Linked DNA regions of Stegostoma tigrinum. The protein of the gene in region 1 purifies or fractionates together with the protein of each later gene. This does not show direct contact. Links are inferred from orthologs where the notes say so. Each region holds a gene or a part of one and is shown on either strand. Other genes may lie near its edges.

What was found. The genes of interacting proteins can lie anywhere in the genome.
Region 2: the proteins of bptf (region 1) and smarca1 purify together in Homo sapiens (affinity purification with mass spectrometry; 4 studies listed by BioGRID and IntAct, with this or other methods). This does not show direct contact. The link is inferred for Stegostoma tigrinum from reciprocal best matches to the Homo sapiens genes BPTF and SMARCA1.

The regions. Positions count from the first base shown.
Region 1 is NC_081375.1:10,335,932-10,346,934, reverse strand, and holds the start of bptf (nucleosome-remodeling factor subunit BPTF), read right to left. Parts: upstream 6,862-11,003; coding exon 6,375-6,861; intron 1-6,374. UniProt on the Homo sapiens protein: Regulatory subunit of the ATP-dependent NURF-1 and NURF-5 ISWI chromatin remodeling complexes, which form ordered nucleosome arrays on chromatin and facilitate access to DNA during DNA-templated processes such as DNA replication, transcription, and repair.
Region 2 is NC_081368.1:32,748,929-32,759,931, reverse strand, and holds the start of smarca1 (probable global transcription activator SNF2L1), read left to right. Parts: upstream 1-3,317; 5' UTR 3,318-3,498; coding exon 3,499-3,558; intron 3,559-5,682; coding exon 5,683-5,733; intron 5,734-11,003.

The DNA.
Region 1 (11,003 bases):
AATGCATGACGAATGGCAATGCTCATATGAAGGCAGATGTTGTTCCCTACTTTAATTTTGTGATATTTATAGCTAACTGAGAAAAATGTCACAATCAGTTATATGAATTTACAGATGGTGTAATTCGGAAACGTGAAAATGACTAACTGACAAGATATGTTGCTCCCTCATAAGGCACAGGTGCTGGAAGCACGAGAACAGAACTGAGTACATCATGAGGACAGATCCTTCAGAGTAACATTAAAAATGACTTTGGTGTTAAGGGTGACATATTTCACAGGCGATGTTATGTTTAAGCACCAGCTATCTGTTCAAGTGCATGTAAAAGATTCTTTGGGACAATTCCAAATGTAGGGAGTTCTCTCTGTGCCCTTGCCAACTATTTCTCAAATATCACAACCACAACAAATTAACTGTTCAGTTATTTTATTACGCATCCATGAATCTTGTTAGTGCTATCAACAATATAACTCATCCAATTTCAATTCTGGTCAAAATTGTCCCATCTCAATATCTAAATAAAAAGTGAATAAAATATCAGATCTACAGAAAAAACAACTCAGAAGTATGGTGATAGAAAACTAAAAATTAACTCCAATCAGACAGCAGAATATAGGAATACTACAGGCCACTACAAACTCATACCAATGATACAAGTCCTGACAAAGACATATCTTTTCAGTGCAAGGTCAGCTAACACGTGTAATTAAAATAGCTTCCACACACCATTAAATTAATCTTTCTTTGCATTTGTAAACATTTACTTATGAATAGTTTCAAACTTCCCATTGTCTTTCAATTTTCAGAATTAGACTATCATTGCAGCAGATGTGTACTCATACGAGGTTCATTAGCTTCATTAAGCAATGGTCTAAGATTCGGTTTCTGAAGACAAAATTTCCACTCGGAATTGCAGTGGCTAAACCAATGGGCCATTGGCTAGAAAGAAGAATATTAAGTAAAAATGAAATAGAGCAAAATACGAAGATAGTGATCTGGGTTGGCAGAAGAAAAAGGTCATTTCTTTCATGTAATTATACTGCCTGATTGGTAACTGTGAAAATCAGGACAAGTTCACTGTAAATTGACCCAAAAGCAAAATCTTAGGAAAACAAAGATTTAAATTTGACAAAGTGAATGACTTTCTTTAAAAATACACCGCTTTTTAAAAACAGACTTTTTGTTATCTCAGTGTGTCACATAGCACTAGCCAATCCATAAATGCGTTCCTTATCCGGCAAAGAATACATTTTAGGTCATCTAATCATATTTGCACTCCCAGGATTTTGTTACAATAACTGATTCAAAGTTAAATCAGTATACATGTTGATTGGCAAGTACCACTGTCTTACTCCCCCCTCAACCGATTTCAACATTTTCCTGTCAGATTTTTCATTCTGAGATAACAAGGTGTAGAGCTGGATGAACACAGCAGGCCAAGCAGCATGACAGGAGCAGGAAAGCTGATGTTTCGGGCCTAGACCCTTCTTCAGGGGTCTAGGCCTGAAATGTCAACTTTCCTGCTCCTATGATGCCACTTGGCCTGCTGTGTTCATCCAGCTCTATACCTTGTCATTTCAGATTCTCCAGCATCTACAGTTCCTACAATCTCGGAGAAGATTTTTCATTCTTGTCATTATTGCATGAACATGTCAATACGAAACATCTGTCCCCAGTGAGGCAGAGAAGGGCAGATTCTGTTGGTCTTGCTTCTCACTTCTCACGATGTCAGTGTTTACAGCTGAAAACACAAGTTACTGCACAGAAACATACTAGTCAATAGCTCACATCTTGCATTACTTCAAAAAAAAACTTGCATGTGTATAACATACAATAATTATGCAATAGGAATTTAAGATTATTTACACCATAGATCTGCTAAACATTTGGAAAATTGCTCAGTGAGAACATAACATTTAGTTGAATTAATAGCTATGAACTTAAAAGCAGCATGCTATGAGAAGGAGGAGTTAGCTGAAGAAATATGTGAAAGTGTTTTTTGAGGGAAGGCTGAAAATCCAGATCCAATATTGTTAAATACTTTGCTTAACTGATCGTGGGATGCTATTTTAAATTGAATCATTGAAGTGTGACTCAAGTGCAGTGCAACCAAACCGAAACGAGATGATAGAATGTATTGACACTTGTGGATACACTACTAAAGACCCCTACAATGTCCTGAGTTGTTGAAACGCAACTACTACTTACAGTGAAAGCACTAGTGTCATTCAGTTATACAGCATTACAGCATGAAAACAGGCCCTTGGGCCCAAACCGCTCAATGCTGACCATGGTGCCCGATCAGCTAGCTCTAATTGCCCGCATTTGGTCCATATCCCTCTAAACCCTGCCCATCCATATACCTATCCAGATTTTTTTTAGATGTTGCTATTATACCTGCCTCAACCACTTTCTCTGACAGTCCATTCCACATACGCACCACTCTCTGCATGAAGAAGCTACCCCTCAGATCCTTCTTAAATATTCTTAAATCTTTAAACTTATGCCCTCCAGTTTTCAATTCCCCATTCCTCTGAAAAAGGCTATATGCATTCATCCTATCTATGCCCCTTATGCTTTTATACACCTCAATAAAGGTCACCCCTCACTCTCCAACATTCCAAGGAATAAAGTCCTATCCTGGCGAACCTCTCCCTATAACTCAGGCCTACTAGTCCTGGCAACATCCTCATAAATCTTCATTGCACACTGACCAGGTAAATTATGTCTTTCCTATAACAGGGTAACCAAAACTATACACAGTATCCAAGTGCAGCCTCACCAATGACTTACACAAATGTAAGATTATGTCCCAACTCCAATACTCATTGCCTCAACTGACAAAAGCCAGCATGCTAAATGCCTTCTTCACCAGCCTGTCCACCTATGGTGTTGCTTTCAACAATCTATGTACTTGTACTCCTAGGTCCCTCTATTCTACAACACTCCTCAGGATCTTACCATTTACTGTCTAAGTCCTACCCTTCCAAAGTACAACACCACATACTTATCTGTATTGAACTACATGCACCAATCCTCAGCCCACTTCTCCATCTGATCAAGATCCCTCTGTAATTTTTGATATCAATACTATCAATGATGCCTCCTAATTTTGTATAATCTGCAAACTTACTAACCATGCCGTGCACATTCATATCAAGGTCATTTTTGGAAATAACAAAGTTCCCAGCATCGACCTGTAGTACACCACTAGTCACAGGCCCCTCTTGTCCAAGAAACAACCTTCAACCATCACTCTCTGCTTTCTACCATTCAACCAATGTTGAACTAAATTAGCTAGCTCTCCCTGGATTTCATGCAACCTCACCCTTCATGAGTAGCCTGCTGTGCAGGATCTTGTCAAAGGCATTACTAAAGTCCATTACATTGGGTACAAATTTTTAGAAAGTTACAAGACAGATGAACGACGTTGTTAATAAAGCATAAGAAATTGTTTTCTTTTTAATTCAAGACAGATTAGAAAAGAGGTTATGTTGAACATATGAAAAAGACTACCTCAGCCCCAGCTGGAGCATTACACAGAAATCCGGACTCCATACATGAGAGAGAACATGAAAGCTTTGGAGAGGGTACAGAGCAATTTACTAGAATAGCTTCAGGGATGAGGGATTAGTTACATGAACAGACTGGAGATACCTCACTGGGTAGTGGATACAGAATAAACAATGGCCTACTAACAGTAATTGACGAAGATTTCATGGAGACAAAAAAATTGCACAGAAATAGTGAAAGACTGTGTTTTGGGTGGGGAAGAAGACAGAAAATTAGACAGAGTGAAACAGGGGACCCAACCAGATTAATCTCCAAAAGAAGCAGAGTGATTAGGCCAAATGGCCTCCTGCTGAGCTGCACTATATATTTTCCACTTTCAACTGTACTAAAATCCAATTTTTATAAGACATTATGAGCATACACCATTGTCAGGTCAAATGATGAGCAGTTAGCTTACGAGCATGTGGTTCAGATATAGCATGATAAAGACGCAGAACCAAATCACAGATCAGAAATAATCTAACTGAATGGCCAACTCCTGTTTCCATGACTTTTCAGAAAAGAATGCGTTAATAAACTGGTTGCCCATTCAGACTGCATTTCTGTTTTAAGTCCACTGAAGAATGCAACATTGAGCATTTAATTCACTAAGTGTTTGACATTTCACTTGCAAATATCATTATTAGAGGGATAGTCTCGACCTACTTCATGAACCAAAATATTTGTCAAAACATCTATAAACAGATACAAAATAAGAGGAACAACATTAATTGATCAGTACTTACCACAAATACACATAAACAAAATTTTGATTTGGAGTGATTTGGTGCATGGCACTTTAAAGAAATTTAGAGCAACCTTTTTGCTTGTTATAAAGCAAATTATCATTACCCTAATGGCTGTATTTTCATTTCAAATTCCACTCAGAAAAATTATGTATTTTACAAATGATGCCACAGAATCAAGAAGTCTGTGCATTGTGATACGGGTGGTAGAGGTAAAGACATAGACAGAGTAGGTTGGAAGGAGAAAATAACATCGGTTTTTGAAGGAAGGTAAAAGTGTAACAATATTTCCAAATGAGTTCCAAAGATCTGGACCATTGTGATTAAAGTAATGGCTGGTAGAGGTGTGACAGAAAGCTCATGGACAAAGTAATGAAATATTGAAGATCCATGGGCCACAATGGAGACTTAACTGGAGAGGGTTGCTTACCATGTAGATGAGATTTAACCTCAAATGTACTTAACTGTTTTAATGTGGTGGATGCCGAAATTACACGTTCCAGGAAACTGGCAACGGATATGTAGAATACTACTGGAGAGGTCCTAGGTTGAGTTCTTAATAGGCTACTGTCTGTGAAGCAGATATGCCAGGGTTGGGAACATGAAACAAATATTCTTGGGGTGATAACAACAGGGACGTGGGTTTCAGCATAAACAGTCAGGAAATACTCCAGAGGTAGAGTGCTCAATTTTTCAAACTGCCCTGCTGAAGGAGAGGAAAGTTAGCCTGGGATTAAATACAACCAGAATATTGTACATCACGTGCAAGCACACAAAGCATGGAAGGAGGTCAAAAGAATTGAAACCGCTATGACCACCACTGGCAAGAACTAAAACCCAAAAGAGGTACTGGCATGCAGAACAGGAGGAATATTCATAATCTAAATATGCAGCGTTCTACTAAAGGTATTGGGCACATCAAAATTAATCAACCACTATTTTCATGAGGAATTGTGGTACATAGCTACATCAACTAAAATTATGGTTGGGTCAGAAGATCAAGGTCCAATTCCTATCTCTCAATGTGATGGAGGCATGTCATAAGTTTAAAAGCTAAAATGACAACTAGTGTCAATTTGATTCTCAGGGAGAGCCTACATCCTTGCTCATCTTTCACATTACTGACAATACAAGATTAAGAATCAAAGACAGTTTAACCTTTCCAAATGGCAAGGAAATTAAAGCTTGGCAGGATTGTTAATAAGTATAATGTTTAATATTTGAAAATAAACTCATCTTCAAATTTACAGACAATGTGAACATCTAATTCTGATAAGAGAGTGATAAATATTTAGTATACTCTATTATTTTCCAAAGCACAGGACTTTTTAAATCCTCCAACAATTTTAAAATCACAGTTGTTAAAAATTATGAAATCTAATATAAACCAGAGAATGCCTGTGTTTTCTTATTTCATAAGAACTATTAAACTGTCCTGATGATTGGATCTTGACTTGAAACTTTTCTGTTTTTCGCCAGGTAAAACAAAATAATTTAGTACTAAGACTGAGTTATTGTTGGAGTTTCCAATTATTTTGTTTCAAATTCCCAGTTTTACATTTTCATTCTTTTCTTGTTTTTCTCATATTAGAATAACTGACCAAATAAAACAGAATTATTTTAAGATTGAAAAATAGCACCAGATTTAAAACTGTTTCCCTGATGTCAAAAGCAATTGGACTGCCGAGTTGTCACAGAGGTTCTTCCCCAAGCCCACAGTCAACTCATTAGCAGGATGAGCAACAGTTTGTGTACAGTTTAGACACATCCCAACCATTCAGCATCACTGCAACAAACTACTTACTCCGCACGATTAAACTAATGCAACTCTGGATCATAATGACAGTTTAGGTCAGATTACGTTTCCTAACACTTAAGTCGCATTTCGCAAATTTCATTTCATGGCAACTGTTGCATGCACGGATGCAGAAAGAGTTTGATGAATATTGCGTATGTAATTATCTGACAAAGTGGGATCTCCAAACAGTCCAACCAAACATGTCATATAGGTGTCATCGAACAATACATTCTTCAACATAAAAAGGGACGGGATTCTGGTGATGTTGGAAACATTACCTGGAGTACTGCTATAAGTGCTGTGACTCCTGAAGCTGCTCTCCGTGCAATAACTAGCATCGTCGTCCTCGTCGTCCTCTTCCTCCTCCTCGGTGGCCTGGTGATAATCCGAATCTTGCTCGTCCTCGTCGTCGTTCTCCCGCTCGTCCTCGTCGTCGTCGTCTTCTTCCTCGGACACCAGACTCTCATCTTCCTCCTCACTCTCGTGGTCGTCGTAGATGACTTTGTTGACGGTCAGCCTGCGGGAGCGGCTGCCCTGCCGTTGCTGCTGAGCCGCGGCCTTGGCCCTGCCCCGGTTCCCCGCCTTGCCGCCTCTCGAGGTCCGGCTCCCTCTACCGCCAGCTTCGGCGTGATTCAGCCTCCGGTCTGCCCCTCTGCCTCTGCCGACCCCGGTAGCCCGGTACCTCAGGCTGCCGGCCGGTCCCCCGCCACCTCCCGCCGGCGAAGCATCGAGCGTCTTGGGCGGCCTACCTCGCCTTCCTCTCATGGTGACCCCCCCCCACCCCCTCCAGCTCCGCCTCACTTTATTTTAACCCCCCCTTTGCCTCCTTCACCTTCCCCTCAAAACCACCTCAACCCTCCCACCCCAAAGGGGCGAAGAAAGATTTGGATTTATTATTATTATTATTTTCAGAGACTCTCTTTCCCGCCTCCCTTTTCCGCAGATGCCGGGCGGGAGGCGCCGAGCCTCGATGTGTTTATTGTTATTTTGTTTTCCCTTTTTTACCCCCTCTCTCTGTTCCCCCTCCTCCTCCTTCTCGTCCGTCGCCCCCTGCTTCACTCCAACCTTCCGGCATCCATGTTGTATTCGGGGATCGCCGCCATTTTTGTCAACCAGTCAACTGGTCACGTGATCCCCCCCCCTTCTTTCACCGCCACCAGCACCTCGCGCGCGCCGCCTCCCGGGACCTGGCATGAGCAGCAACCCCGGAACTCCGGCCCTGTCACAATCCCACACCCAAGCTATCAAAACACAGCCAGCAATTTTTTTTACTGCGAACATCAATTTGTAAAATGCCAAAGCCTATATATATTTATAAGCAAAAAAAACACAACGGCTCATCACACAAAAAAGTGCAATGCTTCTGTTGTGATGTATCTAACAGAAATTTGTTGAATGCGATACTAAATATAAGCAAACAGTGGGAAAATGCAACAGAAGAAAAACTGCAATGTTTTATACATTGCAAATCTTACACAGTTGTAAATTATGAAAGAAAAATCTACCAGCAAGACGTAAAACAAGATAGAAATGCAACATTTTGTACATTAAAATGTGGTGCAGAATAAACCAGTAGAGGTTCAATCCCAACACTGGATGGAGATCATGGAGACTTGGTTTCTCATTCTGCACTTTCTGGTGGTTACCCCCAAGCTAATTCTCCCCATTGCATAGATATGGCTATGGTCTTTTGTGGATTTTGACTCCAAACTGTACCATGGAGTAAAAGGTTGTGGAGTTAAATGATCAACCACAACCTGTAAATGAGTGGTGGAACATTTAGATACCTACTTCTGTTCGTATATATAACAAACTTATAGAATGTAAAAGAAAACATACATAAGCAAAAACTCATAAAAACAAATCCAACAATTGATCTAACATCAATTTGTAAAAGTTGAAAGAAAAATATATATAAACTAAGTAAAAAAGGGAAAAAAACTTAAGATGCTGTAAATCAGAAACTAAAATGGAATTTGCTGGAAAAGCTCAGCAGGCCTGGCAGCATCTGCAGAGAGAAATCAAAATTCAAGTTTTCAGTCGACTCGTCTGACCTGTTGCTGGAATTGCTGGAAAAACTCAGACGAGTCGACTGAAAACTTGCATTTTGATTTCTCTCCACAGATGCTGCCAGGCCTGCTGAGCTTTTCCAGCAATTTCATAAAAATTTCATAAAAGCTCATAAAATAGAACAATAATGTTTTATATCGGTAAGGGACTTTTAAGCAAAAGAAAAATACTGCAGTGCTTATGTGCTATATATCTAACAGATTTGTGAGAAGTGAAGGAAGAAAACCTATTATAAAAGCAAAATACTGTGGATTCTGGTAGTTAGATTCAACTTGAATATTAACTCAGATTTACTCTCCACAGATGCTGCCAAACCTGCTGAATATATTCAGCATTTTCTGCTTTTTATTAATGCAATGTTTTATATTTAACTAGTGAAATGAACTTACAAAGAAGTTTTACAAATGGATACCTGCAAATTTATATATATGTGCAAAAATTTGTGAAATCTAATGTTTAACAAAGCCTTGCAAAATGCAAGTAAAAACAATGTAGTCTTATACCATTTAACACAAACGATTTAAATGCAAAATAAAAATGGTAAAGTTGTGTATTTAACAAAGCCTTGTAAATACCCAAAATACAGTCATATATATGTATATCAATATACCTAACAAGATTCAATAAAACATAAACAAGGAGAATGAGGAGACCTGACTGAGAATTATAACATTATGAGGGACATAAGAGTATTCAGGAAGAGACCTCTCCCCTCAATGAAGGGATCAATGAACAAGGGGCATAGATCTGAGCTAAGGAGTCGAAGAGTTAGAGATGTGAGGAAAATCTTTTTCACACAGAGAACTGAGGGAATGTAGAGCTCAATGCCCATCAGTGTGGCAGAGGCAGAAACTCTTAACATTTAAGAAAGCTTTAGATGTGCATCTGCGATGGCAAGGCATGAGCTGAAAAAATCTATTAGAATAGTTAGGTGTTTCTTTTTGACGAAAACAGACAAGATGTGTCGAATAGCCTTGTTCTGTGCTGTAGACTCTATGATCATGACAACGCTGTTGCTTATATTACGTATGAACGAGTAAAATGCAAAAGAAAATTGTTTTTCGCGCAATGCAATAACGTTGTAAATTTTTTCTGAATGTTTGAGATTTTGTATTTGCAAATAACGCGCGGGGCTGGATTATGGAACAACGATTGTGAGGTGAAAGGAAAAACTTTGCATCAAATCCCTCCGTGCAAAACGAACGGAAACTTGTGCTTTCCGCAACAAACGCGAGAGAATGTTTGCTTTTCACGATTGGTTGCTCTTTTTAATCTCCAGCCGGATAGGACAGGGCAGGAAAGCGCAGCATTTCCGCCGAACGGTTGCAAAATTTGAGCCCGAAGTGAAATGCACCCTGACGGAGCCCAGGTTTAACCCCCCACCAAGTGGGTGACAGTCAATAGATTTGGGGGAGAGGGACACGGGGCAATTGGAGCTTGGCGGCAGCAAACCATGGCCAATTAGCACTCTCATAACACCCAGTCTTCCAATGACAACCAATGAAAGAGACCCTTACAGTGAAACAAACAAAGCAAGAAATTCCGCAAAGCCAAAGCGCTTCAGCGCAGAGTTCTCCCCTGTTCTTTTGTTTTCATCGCTCGGCACAATTCAGTCCTTATCTTGCAACCCTTTAGAGAACAGGCTTCCTTCTGATCCCTTCCCTCCCCAGCTAGAAATCCGCGGAGCCTTCAAGGAGCTAGCTGAGCTACGAGTGGACAAAAGGTTATCAACATTAAATATTAATTCTGCTAGTCTCTTCTCGCTTACAGGCTCAATTGCTGAATATTTCCAGCATTTTATATTTTTGCTTCAACCCAAAATCTTACTTTTTTGAAGTAAAGACGTTAAGATCCTGATCAAAGTCTCACAGCTGCCTGCAAATATGAATGTCAAGTTCAGCCTCATCTGTCTGTGAGTATATAGTTCGCTGATACTCTGTTTAGACTCACACGTATAAAGAGGTATTTTGGAGTCACCGCTATCTTTGGAACTCTCCCAAACAAGGACCATAGGCGTCAACGTAATAAGGCAGTAACGAATTAAACTGGAAGTTGGAGACAATAAGGTGTAGAGCTGGATGAACACAGCAGCTCTACATCCAGCTCTACACATTGTTGTCTCAGATTCTCCAGCATCGGCAGTTCCTACGACCCCTGAACTGGAAGTTTACTGGACCTATTAGTGCCTAACGATCAACTATCACCGTTCGTTGCTACCAACTCTTGTCACACCCCCACGTAAGTAAGCATGCAATAGAATTAACAAAGAAGAAAAATCACCTTTCTGTAATTAAGAAGGCAAATGGATAGACTCTGAGATAGCCCAGTCTCCTACTTTATAAACCCAACATGACAACGTATGATCTGTGGATTTAATAAAAAATACAAAGTATAGTATGCAATTTACTTTACCCCTATAAATTAAGGAGACCTGCATTTCGCAATATATTGTCTTCAACTATGATATGAATCATTACAGAGATAGTAGGAACTGCTGATGCTGGAGAATCTGAGATAACACAGTGTGAAGCTGGATGAACACAGCAGGCCAAGCAGCATCAGAGGAGCAGGAAAGTTTGACGTTTCGGGTTGGCACCCTTCTTCAGATATGGATCATGATATGATATGATACGAATTATGATGTCTTTATCCATTTGTTTCATCATTAAAATTGGGCACTTGGTTACCACAATAATTTTGTTTTAGCAAAACTATTATGTATCACAATTGGGGTAAATATGTAGCGGATAAGAAAGGAAATGAAGTCAGGTAGAAGTTCAACAATTCATTGACAGAGCAGACTTGAAAGGCCATATGGCCAACTCCTGCTCCTGTTT
Region 2 (11,003 bases), on another chromosome or scaffold:
TCCTTTTCTGTGCTGATGAGTTATTGCCTGTCCTTATCCTCACTGATTCCTGTGCAGCCTTCAATGCATTTGATGAACACTCATTCTCCAACACCACTTCACTGGTGTCCAATTCCCTGGGACTGCACTTTCTTGATTCCATTCTTATCCATTTACTTGTCACCAGAGGATACCTGGAAGTGATTTTTGTAATTACCAATAAAGTGTCACCTCTAGGCAACACCAAGGACACCTCTTTAATCCTTGCTGTACAAGCTGCCCCTCAGTGACATCACCCATAGCCATGGGTACCACTGCTACACAAATATCAAACATTTCACACAACCTCACCACTACGTCAATGATGTTATACTACTTGATGGAGAAACTGAACATTGGAAAGATCAATATGCATGCTTTTGGCTCTGGCCATAAACCTTGTACGGCAATTCTATCCTAACATAGCAACCTAACTAGGACCAAATTAAACTGTTCCAACCTCATATCTTCCCGATCAGAAAGACCACTAAATTTCATATTGCGTATGTCTATCCCTTTCTCAGCCCATATCCTGCTAAAACCAGCCATTCATCCACCTGAGATCAATTACCTTGACATTCTCCTGGCCAGCTTCCAGCCCCCATAAACTTCAGTTGAGCCAAAGCTCTGCTACCTGTACATATCACAGGTTAAGTCCTGCTTTTTCAGTAACCTCACCATACGCATTCCTTGGCTCCAGATGTCAGAATGTTTCAAATTCATTTCACCGAAATCTTATTATTCTAATAAACATTTCCACCCTTACAATCACACAAACTTTTCTTTTACACACAGTTATGTTACATACCCTCATCCATTCTCTTTAAGGCATTAATTTAAGCCTGCTTAATTCAATGATAAAGTGTGGAAGTTGGCCATTTGGCCCATCACATCCACACTGACCCTCTGAAGAGCATTCCACGCAGGTCCACCACCTAGCCTTTCCCTGCATTTCTCACCCTAGACCCTATGGGCAACTTAGCATAGGCAATCCATGCAATCTGCACACCTTTGGACTATGGGAGGAAACCAAAGCACCTGGGGAAACCCACACAGACACATGGAGAATGTGCAGACTCCACACAGACAATCGCCCAAGAATCAATGATAATGGGAACTGCAGATGCTAGAGAATCCAAGAAAGCAAAGTGTGAAGCTGGATGAACACAGAGATGAAGGGTCTAGGCCTGAAACGTCAGCTTTTGTGCTCCTGAGATGCTGCTTGGCCTAATGTGTTCATCCCGCTTCACACTTTGTTATCGCCCAAGAATCAAATCCAGATCCCTGGTGCTGTGAGACAGCAGTGCTAACCACTGTGCCACAGCCTTTCTTTGGAACATCAGCCCTTTTTTTCACATCTGTGAAGTGCTTAGGAACTTTTGTCTATGCTATAGATGGTATATAAAAGCAAGTTGTCATTGAAATATTTCAGATATATTTATTCAATTACATAGACTTACAATGAATGACTTATTATACATCACCCTTAAATGGTAGAAAATGAAGTGTCTGTAAAAACAATGTGAAGAAAGCTGGTAGAATGTCCCACTTACATATTTCCCATGCCCATTAAAAATAAATTCTGAAAAATTGGTGGAGAAAATCTATGCCTTGATGGGTAGGCGGTAAAGGAGAACTGAATCCACAATCAGATAAGCCATGATTACATTAAATAGTGAGCAGGCCTGAGTGGCTGAATAGCCTACTGATCATAATTTATGTCTGTATATCTTGGTCACTGGTTTTTCAATTTAAAATCTGACATTTGTCAAAAAACAGCGACAGTATTTCTTAGTAAATACGTTTTTTAAAATCAAGTAATTTTCTAGCACTGTTACTTTCACCTTAAATCATAAAAACAATGTAGAATAGCAAGGACTAGAAAAGAGCCTTTGAGGGAGCTAAAAATCTCCCATTAACTACTAATATGAAAAAATAATCAAAGTGTATGTTCAAAAATACTTGTGGAGTAAAACAATATACCGAGTAGTGTTGTAGAACTCATGTAATAGTTAATGATACTGATTGCATCAGTACTAAGTGGGTGTAAAGCTAACTCATTTATCACTGCAGGACTCAGCCTGCCATAAGCCTAGCAAGCAGTTACAAAGCAGTGGATAACTTGTGGATTTTGATGATATCATAAACATCCATATCATCAGACCCACAATATTTGGTGCCAATGTAAATTCATTTATTTTCAATATATCCAGGCAGGATAATTTAAATTGTTGAATTCAAAGCTTCTCTCAAGTGAGTTGAAACCCCAAAGCAGGTTGGTACCCTTATGGATTGGTTCTTGAATTACAATCTTTTAGCTTTAAGATTCAAATATTAATTATACTGCACGTAAATGTTGGTCATAAATCTCTCCAACTGCACATGCAACTTCTTTTGGGGGTCTATAGTTGATGCACATATAAGGAAAAATCTCCAATATTTTTGCATTGTTATTATGATGAATACATGATTTCTATTTAAGAGATTGTGTTTGAGTTTCTTCCTGTCATCAGATTGTGCGAGAATGGTTTAGTATATTAGTTCCAGTAACATCAAAAGTTAGCCCAATCTGTTTGAGTATCCGATTCTTCAAATAAATAATATCGGAATTTTAATTTACCCACACCCCTCGTCAAAAGGCCGATTAGTTATCAGCTTAATGACAAGTAACAATGTTGTGACAATTGCTTTTGCAATTGGGGAAGCATTATCAAAATATGTGGGCTTTGGCATTTTTTAAAACTTAGTGTACTACTGTGGACCATGTTGTTCACTTGCTGCAGAAGGGCACGACTAATAAAAACACAGATATTCCGTTCAAAACAAAAAGAAGTCTCCTTTATATCGTAGTTTCGAGATTGCCGGTGTATAGTGACTATGGAAATCTATACAGCCTGTGTTAACTGGCTTTATACCAGAAAATCATGAGAATAATGTCGTTGCTTGCACCGAGGCATTCTCCCAGGTTTGTTTCATTACCACATCAGGAGTACAGCCAAAGACGTAAAAAAAAGTCTCCTAATCTATGCACCAATTATCAAATCCTGCCCGAGAGGTCGAGTTGCAGTCATGCACCAGCTAGGAGACTGAACATTCTCTAGGATGCAATTAGTCCAACTTCACGATGTAAAATGAGTAGCCTATCCCCTGATCTTCGTAGGAAAAGAGGAAGGTTGTGTTTGGTAGCTGATGGTGTGCACATGTGTGAAATAAGGAGTGGCAAGACTTATTCCCATTCGAACTATATCACAGACTGGCACAAGAATCTGCCGAACGATTGGCGGAATGGTGAGAAGTCTCGCGATGTTTGTAGAAAATGACAGAACGGGCGGGGGGTGTAGGTTTTCATTTGGCTTTCTCAATAGCAGTGCAATAACAATGCGATGAGGAGAATCTGAGTGCAAGCGAACGCCTAAACCGGGTTGCTTTGGTTTGTTGTTGTTTGTAACGCAGACAGCAGAGAGAGAGTGTGTCGGCAGGATGAGTGAGGAGGAGGAGGAGGAGGCGGCCAGTACCTCTGGCCAGGGGGACACGCTTGGGGTGAGTGTGTAACAAAGTACCGGCTCATTGTTTCCAACTTTGTATCCATTGGCGATGGAACGCCGGGGGAGTAGCAACGTTCGGTGGCGGGAAAACACCGCCGTTCACCCTGAGGGACGCTGTTGCCAATCAGTTGTTCAAGTGCTGCGGGCTCCTGTTTAATAAAACAAACAAACACACACACACGTAACACACAAGGGTGCCGAGACTGCACTGTGACTGTTTATTGTCCTGCCGGAAGCACGGGGAGAAGTGCTTTTTATTTTTAAAAAAGAATATTATATAAATAAATATTTTAGCCTCAGTCCGTATTCGGGCCTCAGTTTGCGTGCTGCGCGCTGGCCAGTCAGGGTAAGCTGTACAGGAGGATAAAGCCTGGGAAGTCCAGGCCTTTGCTCTCCTTTCTGTACGTCAGCGCTGGCCACTTGCGTGTATCAATGTGCACTGAGGGACACTGGTTCAACTGAGGGCGAAAATAAACACGATTTTTAAAAAAAGAATACCGAAAGCGAATGTGGTTTGCAACAGTGACTTCGAACCCCCCCCCCCGTTTTAGTGTGGGAATGCTTAAAAAGGCTGCTGAGAGAGCTTGACATATGTAAATTGAGTTGGTGCAGAAACATAAATAACTGGAATTACACCAAATAAAACAAGATATTACAGCGGAACTAGATCACGTCAGGAGAAACTTACTCAAAACGGTAGCAAATACACAGCACCTTGTCACCTCTCCGGGAAAGCAAGACCTAATTTTGAAGTGCAGTGATTAACCTTTTATAATGGACATATACTTAGACCAAACGAGTTAGCAAAAACAAAAATATTGGTCATGTTCACGTTGCTCACATGCTGTGGTGTGAAGGCAGAATAAGCCTGCTAGAGGGACATTTTGATGAGCTGCATAGCATATCTCAACTGAGACTTATAAATTATTTCCTTAATAATGTGACAGTTAAAACTTGTTAATTGCATTCAAGGTCTACAGTGCTACCATCTTTATTCCCTTTGCAGTACATGCAAGGAAAAAGTTGGCTGCAAAAAGTGACTTTAATGAACACCACAGAACTGACTAGTATTTTGTGCTCCTGAGATGCTGCTTGGCCTGCTGTGTTCATCCAGCCTCACATTTTATTATCTTGGAATCTCCAGCATCTGCAGTTCCCATTATCTCTGATAGTATTTTCTGTCGTTTCCCTCCCCATAGTATGATCACAAGGGAAAAATGGTATGTCATGAGTTCAGTCCAAGTGGTTATAATTAATATGTAGTACTCAAACACTCCACAGACCCTGCTGTACCTGAAACCGCAAATAGTATCATGTCTTAAAACACCTCTACGTATTTTTATTGGCTTCCCATGATATCTGCCCACTCTTCAAGGTCCTAAAATGCTGTTGAATACTAAAATACAACTTAACAGCATCTCTCTCTCTCTCTCAATCCTTTCAAATACTGGGAGACCAATAACTCCTTCCTCACCTCAACTCCCTGCTCCACCAAACCCCTTAATCTGTGTTTAAGTAGAAACAGTTTTAAATAATGCCTTTAGGGTTTTATATCATCCCTTCCAGCCTGGGATTAATATTCTTCACTCTAAGGTAATTTAGTACATCATATTTCCTCTTCCTTGGTTCACTAAGTCTATACAGCCATCGCTGGCCAAGGGCTTCTTAGGACTGCCCAACTCAAAGGAAAACGGAAGATGACAGCCTCCCTCTCAAAGCTGTGGATGTTTCGACTAAACATTAAAAGAAACAAGTTCCAGAAGTCAGTAATAAAACTTGAGACCCTATTATTTACCTTGCTGTGTATAAACCAATCTAAAATGAATAAGTACAAAATCCATTTGTGGTGCGCAAAAACCCAATTGCTCTCAAGCCAGGCCCGAAATCTGTTTATGAGAAATTACCTTGGCTACTGAAATACTTGCAAGTTAATGATTAACTTCAGACACACAGAAAACCTACTGGTTACTAACTCAAAACACAAAAGCACAAACTCACAATAAATGGTTATGAATGGATATAATACACATCTGTAAAACATAGTTTGCTACACAGAAGTTAAGTTTATAGCTGCTGTGCAAAATGATTGAAGTAATGCGCCACTAATGTTTTTCCTCAGCTGTGTGAACAGGCTGGCCCTGAAGTTAAACAAGAACCTTCAAACGTGCAGGTATGTGAATAATATCACATTGGGCTGTGCAATCTAGAATGTACAAGGTGCATGACATTTATTCTTTAACTTTTGACACATCTGTGGTCTTCCAAGCTTGTTCTACATAAAACTTTCAGAAGTAGTTTCGTTCAAATTTCAGGTGCATCTTCTTGCAGCCAAATTTTTGTTGTTGAATAACTTGTTATGAAGTTATTTTTGATTTCCTGTTTTCCTAATTTTCCCAATATTTTAAAGTTGTTTTCAAAGCTCATTGGCTGTATGAAAAATGAAACAGTCATGGAATTACCCCTTCCCTGGAGTGGTGCAGCTAATGGCCAGAAAGCGTAGTGAGAATGAAAAAGTGAGAACCTCGATTTCGAGAAAAGAATGATTGATTTACCCCTTAAACTTTAAACTTTGACTTCAGAATCTTGCTATTGAGTGATGACTAACTTATTTTGATGCAATTGCATTTCATTATTAGTCCAAATCATGTCTCTGTAAATATTTTACATGTGTTGTGACCTTTTTCATTACATCCTGAAATGGGACTTGAACCTGGACCTTCTTGCCCAGACGTAGGGTAACTACCATTACATTGTAAGTCTCTCATTGTAGATAGATTTTATTAACTACTCATATTACAGCACACACTTCCCACCTACTTCCGCACTGTACACATTTTTCATTAACCCATTCGTACATACGATGATACGTATCTGGAGCAGATGGAACTGGAAACTCCAGCCCAGAGCTATAGACAATACCTGTGCACCAGAAAAGCCCTATTGCTTCCACTTCATATCTATCCACTAAATTAATTAATAAATTAACCCAAATTGCTTACTTCACTACTTGCTATGTTTACAGATTACTCTCCTAATCTAAAACTTTTGAAGACATCAGACAATCCATGAAAAGGGGCTTTTGGTGCATTGGTAGTTTATCTACTTCAAGCCTGAAGTCTGTTCTATGAGAACTGTCCCAATTTATCAGGATTTGATTAGTACTTTCTAAGTAAGGCTGTTGATCTAAAGTCACTCCTGATTTTTTTCTGCTTAATATTTTGCCCAACATATTTGAAGATCCCTGAAGTCTGACTCCAAATCTTAAATTCCCTTTTTATTTTATCCTGCACATATTGCTCATGTAACTCATGAAAATCATCAGTGTACATCACAACGACGCTTGCCAGTTTCTCTTGGCAATACCCGTAGAACATTTCTGGGTTTACATGAAGCTGAATGATACTTTTGATGACATGATCTAACTATGAAATACCATTAAAAAACTAGGAAAACTGCAGATGCTGGAAATCAGAAACATAAAAACAAAAATTGTGGAAACTCTCAGCAGTCCTGGCAGCATCTGCAGAGAGAAATCAGAGTAAAAATTTGGGGTTCAGAATTGAAATAACATACCTTTGCTGAATCATTCAACTTAAAAATGTTAAATTAGTTTCTGTATTTTCCCTTTCCTACACCCTGCTTCTTTAGGTTGTTCTAAAAATTATTGCTTTTGAAACTTTTTAGCTTGCAAAATTACACCTTTTGCATTGATTAACTTACATTTCCATGAGTACGTTATGAAAAGAGCTAAGAAGATCCTTAAGAGTTCTTTTGCAGCCAGAGAATTCACTCCAACATCCGGAATACCACGCTTCTCTCTGGAACCCTGAGGCTGACTTTGGCTTATGTCACGTCAGGGAGCTTATCCATTTGTATGATAAGGCTGGTTGTCTGGCAGTCAGTTCAGAGGGAGATAAGTTGGAATGGGTCAGGGGGCAGCAGAGAAATTGAGGTGACCAATGTCACATCAGCAGTTCTTGATGAACAGCTCAAGTGCAAATAAAAGCGTAGAAGGAAGAGTTCCAGTAGGAGGGACAATGTTGGAGGTAAGTGAAAGGGTTTGTGTGATGGGCAAAGGACCCTTGGTCCAGTGAAATAGGCACAGAAGCGAAGGCAACAGAAAAAGTGTTCAATGCCTTGTCATGCCCGAAATTCATTAAGGTGGGGAAGCAGAGGCAGAAAACTGAGTTCAGAACATTCAGCATCAGACAGCCGAAGGTCAGAAGGGATAGTAAATATGCAATAGGAAGTGGGGTTAGGAGAGGGGATGGAGTGAGAGGGAAAGGGGGGCTGGAAGATTCTGAATGGGCTTGAGTATCTTTAGGTTGTCGCATCTTGTGTTCCTTAATGCCTGACAGGAAAACGAAAAGAATAAAGTTCCTTGTTAGAACATCAAATAAGTCAGAGGATGAAGTGGAACTGGCAGTGGGGGGTGGGGGTGGGGGGGGGTGGTGTGTGGAGCGCAAGACAGCTCTAAGCCAGTGTGAGGCGACGCTGTTGGGAGATTGAGTTCAAGATTGTGCATATGGTGATGGATCAGTGTGGATCTCAGGATGTGGCGATACCAACTTCCCGAAGAACACAGTACATCATGGAGATGCCTGTGATCCTGGTTGGATTCAAAGCACGAAGGATGAAAATTGAGTTGGAATCCACGTGTGGTGATTCTAAGCCTGAAGCAGTCACTGAGGAATGTGACGTGTCTGTGGAAGAGAGTTTTGGCAAATACCTTGTCAAACGCCAGGAGAAACAATAAAATAAATGACGATGATTTTGGAAACAGATTAGCATGGAAATCTTGCGGGAGAGAGGAGCAGAATTTCAAGGTGGGCACACCAGGAAGAGATGTATCACTAAGTTAAACACTAAACAAAAAGCCAGAGAACCACAAAGGCTGGAAATTAGAAACAAAATCAGAAATCGCTGGAGGAACTACATGTCTAGCAGTTTGTATAGAAAGGAAGTAGAAAAAAGGTCACAAGAATCAAAATGTTAGTTCTGCTTTCTCTCTGTAGATGCAGCCAGACCTGTTGAGTTTTTCCAGCAATTCCTGTTTTGTACTTGCTGTCCAGTCATATTCTTGACTACTCCTTGATCTTCACCCCCTATGTTCAAGATTCCTTTTGCAAATTTGCTACCTTTTCCTTGGGCTGTGTTCACTTCCCAGTCCACTTCTGGAATATGTACTGCAGCTGTTCATTTTGCTAGTTGTGCATCTTGCCATATGTTCCTCATCTTGCACATTTTAAGCAATGTTTATATTTGTCAGTGGTCTTCCCTGCTATCCCTACAGTGATGGCATCTTTATATTTCAAAGATACATATAGTATCTTAGGGCCAACATTTGATCATTGTTCATTGGGGCAAACAGCCTTGCCCTGCATCTCTGTCTCCATTTTGTCCCTGTTTAGTTAGCCCATCTTCTGCCATTATCTGATCTGCATAATTATTCTGTGTATGTATCTGCAAAGTGCATGATACCTCATTATTTTCCATGACTTGTTCAGATTCTGTATGTGTGTATTCACTGCCGGTTAACCAAACTCTGATGAAGGATCTAGGCCCGAAACGTCAGCTTTTGTGCTCCTGAGATGCTGCTTGGCCTGCTGTGTTCATCCAGCTCTACACTTTGTTATCTTAGTTTGTTTGCTGTGCTGTTTTTGCATCATCGCCTATACTGTTGACATTCCTTTCCATCTCATTCTGCCCTTCTATTTTGTAATAGACCCTGGATTAAAATTTTTTTTTAGATGACAATATGCAATGCCATGGAACTCCCAAATTTTCTCCGAAACCTTCTCCCTGTATGCAGGACATTCAAATGCTCAGTAAAAGTGCATTTAATAGTGTTCCCTTCTCAAGCCAAGATGATCACTCATCACTGAAAGAATTTTTAGATTTCTCCCAAAAATCATTGGACGTGGACTATAGCTCCCAACCATTTACAGTTCTCCACATGGACTGTCTGTTCAACTTGGAAGGTCTTGTTAGATTTTATGAAGCATTTAATTGACTACTATATGAGTATTTCTACACATTCTTGCTTTTACTAAAGGGACTGTTCGTTCCACTCCTCTCCCACGCACTACCCATCCATTGCCAGTTAGGAATTGAGCCAATGCCTCCAGTCTATTCCTTAATCATATTTCCAATGTATTGTTCACTATTACTGTTCTTTTAGTATTTGTTATTGTAAACTGAAGAAATGTAATTGCTACATCTACAAAGTGCAATATGAATATGCCTTTCCTTATATGCCTTAAAGTCCATACCACCACTTCATTAAAGCCTCTCGCCGATGGTATTCATGGTGGTATCTTCTAATGTAAACTTTTTTTACACTTACTGCTAATTTGTTTGACAAATATACAAAACTCATCCACCCTTACTCCTGCATTTTTTAAGAATGATTTTTAACTTGTGAAAATGGATGGAAAATTGCTGATGTAGTCCTAAGCTAATTAACCCTTTTCTCTTGAACTTCCTATTCACTGACACCGACACCTTCTTTATATTTTGACTCAAGAAGTTAGATCCTAATAAAGGAATACAATTGTGTCTGAATTGAGCAAACTGTAAATCAGTTGACTTTCCAAAAACATTTGCCGTGCTTTCATATGTGAGTTTCATTTTGGCCTTTTACATGGATGATCTGTTCAATAGTGAAATTGTTTCATTTACATTACATCTGTGCTGATGAAATTGCTAATCCCAGCTATTTTACAGGGAATTACAAGTCTTTTTAGTGATGTCAGGTCATTAGCATAACCTTATCTGAAGCGGGTAGAATTTCAAGTATATTCCACTATGGCATAATTATCTGACTTTCCAGATTTATCAAAGTTTGACAACATTTGCATTATTTAACAAGTCACACATTTTATACATTTAGCCCATAAATGTGAATAGATTACCTTACTCAATATTCAATTCTTGGCCTCTAACTCTGAGAATGCACCTGATCCTGCTTCATACTCTTTTTTTGTTTGGAAGTTGTAATCTGTGTCTGTATTTACTTAATTTTTCTACTGATCGTAGGTTCACAGCATGTTGATGAGAAATTACCCTCAACACATAACACACACGGTTTCAACCATTCTTCTCAAAAATAACTTAAATTACAACCTTCTGTACGAAAAGAACTTAGTTCCAAACTTCTCCTTTAGGCAACCTTCCTTCCTACCAGTATCAAACTCATTTGAAGCCATTCGGTGAAGCAGAGACCAGGACACCTTTGTGGATGGAGCTTATTAACTGTTCAATCTTGGAGCTCCTTCTACACACCATTTCTAGCTGTCACTGTTATAGCTATTAATTAATTAATTAATCCCAGTCTCTGAACTACTTGCCATAGTATTATCTCTAAACCTGCTTTTCTTGCAGTTTTAACTTTCATAAGAAATGTATTTGGAATTTCACTTTTATGATGAAAGTAGCTTG